Linked DNA regions of Drosophila melanogaster. The protein of the gene in region 2 binds, or shares a complex with, the protein of the main gene of each other region. Each region holds a gene or a part of one and is shown on either strand. Other genes may lie near its edges.

Region 1 (3,450 bases), on a different chromosome or scaffold from region 2:
TTGCATACATTGCATTGCTACACGAACACATTTAGTGTTAAATTATATGTAAATTTAGACACCACACACATACAGCAACTAACTAAAAAATAATAATAATAGCAAACACCACACATCGAGCACCACGAGAACAGAAAATGAAAAGAAACAGATTTAGATTCAGAAACCAGAAGCCTAACGAAATCCTCCATTTCAACTGTATTGTATATGTAAAACAATTTATATGAAACCAGCTACGCTGAAAATACTTATAAAAAATCCCAAAAAAAAGAGAAAACAAAAAAGATCCCCAAGGGACAGCAAAAAAAAAATCTTGCACTTTTGGTTTCCTTTGCCGGCTGTGTCACTCCATCTTAACTGGTTTCGAAATTACTGTCTTGCAATTATCCATTTCCATATCAGCAGTTTTGAAACTATCTCTATTAACAAAACTAACAACTACTATATCTTACTATATAGGATCTCTTGGCTTATTGAGGGAACAAGTTAATAGTTAATTTGGCAGTTAAAAAAAAATTGTTTATTCAGCTATAGGATATATGTAAGCACCATCTGCCTAGACTCTTATAATTTATATAGCAACGAAAACTATAAAATCGTATGCAAGAGTTTATCAAATTGATTTCGTGATGCCAAAAGAATCGGCATTCTCCGAAGTTTATTGGTACTTTTTGAACTTAACTAGGTACTTAATTAGCCGATGGAACTAATCCTACAGATCTAGACGGGTATGTTTAGTGCAGACAGCTCCTCCTTGACCTCGTCGTACAGATCCTTGTACTCCTCGTTCTGGCGGACCAGCAGGGCGACTGTACCGCGCTTCACGCCCATGGCAGCTCCAAGATCCGCTCGACTGGGGGTGTAGGTATAGGGGATGCCCTTCTCCTCGCAGACGGCTGGTAAGTGGCACATGATGTCCACAGGTGTAACGTCGCCAGCAAAGATGCAAATGCTGGAGAAGATGTGGGTATATTTCTTGTTGTCTTGCAGTCACGGATCACGCAGCACTTACCCAGTTTCGCCCTTGCGCAGGCGAGTCTGTACATCCTTAAGTCCATTTCGCAGGAAAGTCTTGTGCTTCATGGCCTTCTTCACCAGTTTGTAGCACTTTTTGGCCAGTTTTTTACCTGCCATCGGTTTCGCGATGGCGTTCACAAAGATCAGCTTGTCGTCGTAGGACTCCTCCTCCTTGATGGTAACATCGCCGCTGGCCACAACGGACTCATCGGCATCCTCGGAGCGCTCTACTTTCACTTTGCCCATTGCTTTTTTGATAAAAACGTGGATATTTTGTTTAAACGGCTTTTTGTTCGAAACACGTGTTCAGTGTGACCGCGGATCGACTTTTGAAGCATACTAGCGTGCCGCAAAAATATACTAAAATAAATACCGTTCAGACATGGATTAATGCGACTTACTCTATGGTTTGTGACTTTACTAATGTTTTTAGCTAAGTTCATACACTGAGAAAAATTATTACTTAATGTTAAATGAATATTAAATTAAAAATAGAGTTCCAATCCCAAGCCCCAATCACCGCGCAAAAATACTTCAAGACCACATTAAACATTTATTAAAATCTCACATACAAATTCAAATCCACATGACATAAAACAGTTTAAAATTAGCAGAAATCCTACAGGATATAAAATCAGAAGAATTGCTTGGCCAGTTGGATAATATTCATGGCCAATCGGATCTCCCGGGCGCCGCGAACGCCCAGTGCCGCCAAGTCCTCCAGGGTCATTTGGATGAGCACCTCGATGTCGATCTCCTGGCGCGTGAACAGCTCTGTGAGATGCGCGTTTCCGGTGCGATCGAGCAGGGATTTGACCCGAGGACTCAAAGTGGGGTGCTCCACCGGGGAGCAGGGCTTATAGCGTGAATGATGGATACTGGGAGTGGGACTTCTTGGGTCCTCCACTTTAATCTTTCGCGCACTTTTCAACTTGGATTCCTCCTGCCTCAGCCGCGTTTCCTGCTGCAGTCGGATATCCGGCTTTGGTCTGTCTTCTCTCTTAGTTCTCAGTAGTTTCGAATCTCCAGATTCTCCCAGTAGCCTGGTCTCCCCATTTATAAGGGTACTTTGACTTGTGGGCGAAAATACGGAACGCGTGCGCATAAATTTCTGTGAAAATCGACGGGGCAAAGTGGATTCCGATAGTCGTTTTAACCCGGACAATGCCGGTCGACTGTTAGGAACCGTAAGATTATTGTTCTTCGGCATTCCAAAGAGTCCGTATCTCGCGGTACCCTTCCTGCCAACGCCTCCAGTGGGCGTGACATCTTCGAATGTAAAAGCTTCGGTGGAGAGGGGAGTGAGTGGGGTCAGTGGGGATGCGGGATCTATTGAAAGTTAAAGGATATATTTTAAACTTGTTTACAAAAGTATTAGCAATACTACCTCTATAGACGCGATTGTAGCGCTCCATTCGGTAATTTTACAAATAATATTTTCCACGAGCACAAAAAAGACGACAAAAAAAAACGTGCAATAAGATTTGCAAAATGCAACTAACTGTAATTAACTGCTTTTTTAATGCGACCGCATTAAGAGCGGTTAAAATTACCGAAAATTCTGTGATCAGGCAACTCATAAAATCCTAGTCATAGAACCATGATCAGTGCTGAAAAACGATCCTTAAAAATAGATCATATAATGAGTTTTTAAGATCTAAATTACAATATGTATATTTCTTTTCAAGAAAATAAATTTCAACAACAGTCACAACTATCACAAAGTGCTTAAAAATATGATATAAGAATTATGCCTAATAACTAATTGTAAACTACAATAGTAAAAATAATTCATAAAAAACTCGAGAGTTTAGAAACTATATAAAAATGTGTTTTGTTTCTGTTAAGGTTTTTGTGCCTGTTTATAATTGATTAAGAATAAACGTTAATCTGGCACATTAGAATATTCATATCCATGTTTTTTTGCTATTGTTAAATCTCTGACTTTACCCTCGTGATTTGGGTGAAATAAATAAATTAGAATAAAAGTTCAAGGAACTCGCCACGCATTAATATTTACCATTTCACATGTCTAAGTACCAAATATCGTTTTTATACCGTCTACATAATATTATTTTGCTTCTAATTAAAGCGAGTTTGTCCAGTTTTTCAGTCGTTACTTTTGCGGTGCGATTTGATTTGATTTGCTTCGGTTTTTGCGTCGAAGTTTTTGCGACAAATCTTTTTTTTGCGAATTGGCAGTCAACAGATGAACCGATAAAATGTAAACAATTGTTGCACAAAACGTGCAAATTAATTTAACGAAAATAATCAATTAAGTTAATTTAATGACGCCGAAAATTCACAATTCTTGCGTGCAATAATGACAATATTCATAAAGAGCACTTGGAGTAAAAATTGACAATTTTTTTTATGAAAATGCCTAACCATAAAACATAAAAAATTTTACATTTTGTTATAAAATTTGCACAG
Region 2 (3,754 bases):
ACAGCTGCAAATTTAACAAATTATATGCATGAATCGAACGGCAATTGGAAAGCGGAAGGAAACCCCCATACCGAATAGTATTGGGCATTTTAAACAAACCTCGAAGAATTCATAAAATTTCAAGGGAATTCGGATGAGTGCGATTCTCTCATAAAGTCGATACATTATTGATCCCCAAATTCTAGACGATGATAGTTGTGCAACCACTTCATATAAATCATTAAGGTGCTCTAATCAAATGTATTATTTTCACACAAAACCATTTTTCGTTATAAACCACTATCTTCTCAATAAGTGAGCAAATGTTTGACATTCTATTGTTAATTAACTGTCTTCATAAATGATAAAATATCACTTAAACTTCAATTAACTATATGTTTTCAGTTATATCATGTTTGTAAATTTGTAGGAAATTTATTTTAGTATCATTTATGGTACAATATTCGATTGATTGGTCAGCGAACAATACCCAAATGATGAGGTTTTGCTTAGAAACTATTTGGACATGTACAACAATTGGATTGTACACTTCTTTAAATGTTTTGATTAGGATCTGATACTGAAAACTACCACCGACCCCGACCACCGCCGCCGCCGCCACCGCCTCCTCGTCCTCTGTTAAAACCGCCGCCGCCGCCACCTCCTCCATTGCGACCAGCACCTCCTCGGAATCCGCCTCCACCTCGTCCGCCGCCACCACCGCGACCACCTGTTGATAAACACAAGTTAGGACTTTGGGGTGCACTCATGAAATTCACTATCTTACCTCCTCCGCGGCCGCCACCTCGGCCTCCAAATCCACCGCCACCGCCGCCTCCACCTCGGTTATTTGTGAAGGCTTTCTTGGCGCCTTTTGGTTGTGGAGGTTTCGGCAGAAATCTGGCGATGGGTAACAGCTTTCCAGGGTCGATAAACAGTTTCTGATTTGGCTTGAAGCTGTTGGCGTAGACGTTGTCCGACAGCTTGATGGACACGCTGTAGTCCCGAACTGTTCCAAAGATTTCGTCGATTTTGCCTACTTGCTCCTTGTTTTCAAGGAAAATGGGCGCGTTGAAGTAGGGAACATCCTGAATATCAACTTTGCACACAAGGTCGTTTTGGCAGGAGTAAACATAGTTGCCCAAGGGGATGACTCTCTCTGGTGGACCTACAATTAAAAAAATAAGATATATTATTAAAGTGACAAAATGGAAATGAGTATTTGGCAATTTGCCTGAACATAGCAAGCATTTAAGACAGCGTATACCTATAGGAGACTTCCAGATGTGTTTTTAGCTAATATATTTATATATATAGCCCATGATTATAGCCTACAACGGCTTGGCTATTCAAAATTTGAGAGAACAACGTGGTTATTGTAATTCTATTCGCACAATCTGTATTAACTGCTTGTTTTAAGTGACGTAGTTAGCCTTAGTTCACAGGCTAGCTTAGTTTGGATGATTAGTTATAGGAATAGTTGGCGACTTTCATTCACTTACCAGTGTCGAAGGCTCCACGGCCGCCACCACGTCCACCTCCACCTCGACCGAATCCGCCGCCACCTCCGCGTCCTCCGCCACCTCCTCGTCCACCTCCACCTCCACCAAATCCTCGTCCTCCTCCGCCTCCGCCTCCACCGAAGCCTCTTCCGCCGCCGCCACCGCCGCCACGAGGTTTACCAAATCCCATTTTCAAATATTATTAAAATTGAACGCAAAAACACGTGCGCGTTCCGATCAACCAAAATATTTAGAGACGGAAGAAATTCAAATTTCGTTATCGACTTATCGATAGCCACGGCCATGTGTTTCAGTATATACGGTTGTATATTATACGGTCACACTAGGCACAAGGGGCGGATTTTTTGAAACTTCTATTTCAATAAAATTATTTAAAACTATTTTTAACAATCGACCTGATTATTAATTTCTTAGTCTTTTTTTTTAAAAACAGTTATTTTTTTATGCATATGAATAGTTTTAATGAAGATCGTTTAACTAAGACAAATTCCTGGTGCTTTTTTTATAAGCATTAAATATTCACTAAGAGAACATAAAACATTGAGTAAGAGAGAATCATCAAAAACATCATCGGATGCATTATAGATATATATATATATAGATATCTATAGCCGAACAGCTGTTGAGACATCTACCAAAAATATAGACAAGCAAAGTGAAAATGAATATTTGAATTTTCTCCAACTGCTGAGAGCAGTTGGATGCCAGCCGTGGACGAGGAAGCGAGAAATAGAAGCTAAATCTATTCGATCGTGTCGCGACGTCGAAAGAAGCAGATACATAAAATTCTATATGCAAATAGATAATATAGCAAAATAATTTCAAAAATTTTCGGACAAGTGCAGACTTTAAAAGTTTCAGAAAGTGCACAATACATACATATAATACGAAATTGCAATCGAAAGTGATATAATTACCCGAGGCATATTTTCATATGTGGAATATGAACGCCTCGTTGGGCAGTTAAAAATAGATTAATAGATGGCTAAATGACGAGCACGAGCACAAAGATAGATCGCGAAAGTAGCACACGACTGCGGCTGGACAAGATGGAGCAGCCGATGGACGCCAGGCAGCAGCAGCGCCATCGAAGGCGCCTGGGTCGCAGCCACCGGGAACCGACGCCCGTCACTGGAGACGCCCTGCCCCAGGACGATGCCAGTCCGGATGCCCTCCCTGATCCATCACCTCAGATGGTGCGCATGCAGATCAGGCCACCCGGCTCGATGTCCGCCCACGAGAGCAAGATCCTGCGAAAGCGGGACAAGTCCTTCGCCAGCTCCTCGGCGCGTAGTCAATCGCAGCCACGGGAGGCTGAGAAGCTGAGTAGTCCGGATGCCAATCATCTGATCAAGCATCGCAGCCTCTCCTCGCCGCGGCACAAGGAGGAGTCCAGCGAGAGTGAGCTGACCACCGGCAGCAGTAGTCAGCAGCAAAGGCCCATTCCTAATCTTGGCCAGACACAGGATACGCTAAGCAGATTGGAGCAGAATCTGCAGCGCTTCGAGGACGAACGACGGCGTTTCGAGGCCGAGAAGAGGCTCTTTGAGCGCGAGAAGCGGGAGCACAAGATGCGCCATCGCCAGCAGCTGGACAACGAGGAGCGCAAGCGCCTCCTGCAGAGCTACCGCAAGCTCAGCGATCGCATCCAGCTGCCGCAGGACGAGGAGGAACGGCGCCGCCTCATCCACAGCCTGCGTCTGCAGCGACACGAGGCGCCCAAGACTCGGGGTCGCAATCGAAGTAGCGGCTACGATGAGTCCTCCACCCAGTTCAGCTCCTCCGATGCCGATGCGACGGAGGAGACTCACCCGCGGCCCCGAGCACCTAAGATTCCCCAGGGCTTTGTGGCAGCCCCAATCCGCGGCGCACCTCCACCGCCGCCATCGGCGTCGACAGCTCCAAAACCACCGGAAAGGCTGTCTGTGAGTCGCAACAACTCCCTGTCGCCCGTGAGACCACAGCGACGATCCAAGACTCCGGAGCAACGGGAGGAGATCCTCCGGAAGCACGAGTACTTGGAGGTGGGCGAGTCCAGAGACGAGGTGATAAAGCCCCGCATCTCGGAGGCAGAACAGCAGTCGGAGCTGATGCAAAAGTACATGGAGGCCGCTGAGCGGGCGGCAAAAGCGGAGGCCGCCCTGGCGGAGCAAATCCTGACGGCGGAGGGAGTGCGTCGCAGTCACAGCTTGAGATTAGCGGATAAGGAAGAGAAGCCTCAAAAGCGCAGCTCCAGTTTGGAGCGTCCACTA

What was found.
Region 1: Gar1 (region 2) and NHP2 share a complex: the UniProt entries of both Drosophila melanogaster proteins name them as parts of the box H/ACA small nucleolar ribonucleoprotein (H/ACA snoRNP) complex.

What each region holds. Positions count from the first base shown.
Region 1 is NT_037436.4:14,800,828-14,804,277, forward strand, and holds NHP2 (NHP2), read right to left. Parts: upstream 1,342-3,450; 5' UTR 1,264-1,341; coding exon 1,013-1,263; intron 953-1,012; coding exon 721-952; 3' UTR 501-720; downstream 1-500. Other genes in the region: gnu (giant nuclei), read right to left, coding at 1,652-2,346, 2,405-2,432. UniProt on the Drosophila melanogaster protein: Component of the box H/ACA small nucleolar ribonucleoprotein (H/ACA snoRNP) complex, which catalyzes pseudouridylation of rRNA. This involves the isomerization of uridine such that the ribose is subsequently attached to C5, instead of the normal N1.
Region 2 is NT_033778.4:21,095,561-21,099,314, forward strand, and holds Gar1 (Gar1 ribonucleoprotein), read right to left. Parts: upstream 1,746-3,754; 5' UTR 1,672-1,745; coding exon 1,482-1,671; intron 1,148-1,481; coding exon 767-1,147; intron 710-766; coding exon 567-709; 3' UTR 398-566; downstream 1-397. Other genes in the region: CG34396 (uncharacterized protein), read left to right, coding at 2,552-3,754. UniProt on the Drosophila melanogaster protein: Component of the box H/ACA small nucleolar ribonucleoprotein (H/ACA snoRNP) complex, which catalyzes pseudouridylation of rRNA. This involves the isomerization of uridine such that the ribose is subsequently attached to C5, instead of the normal N1.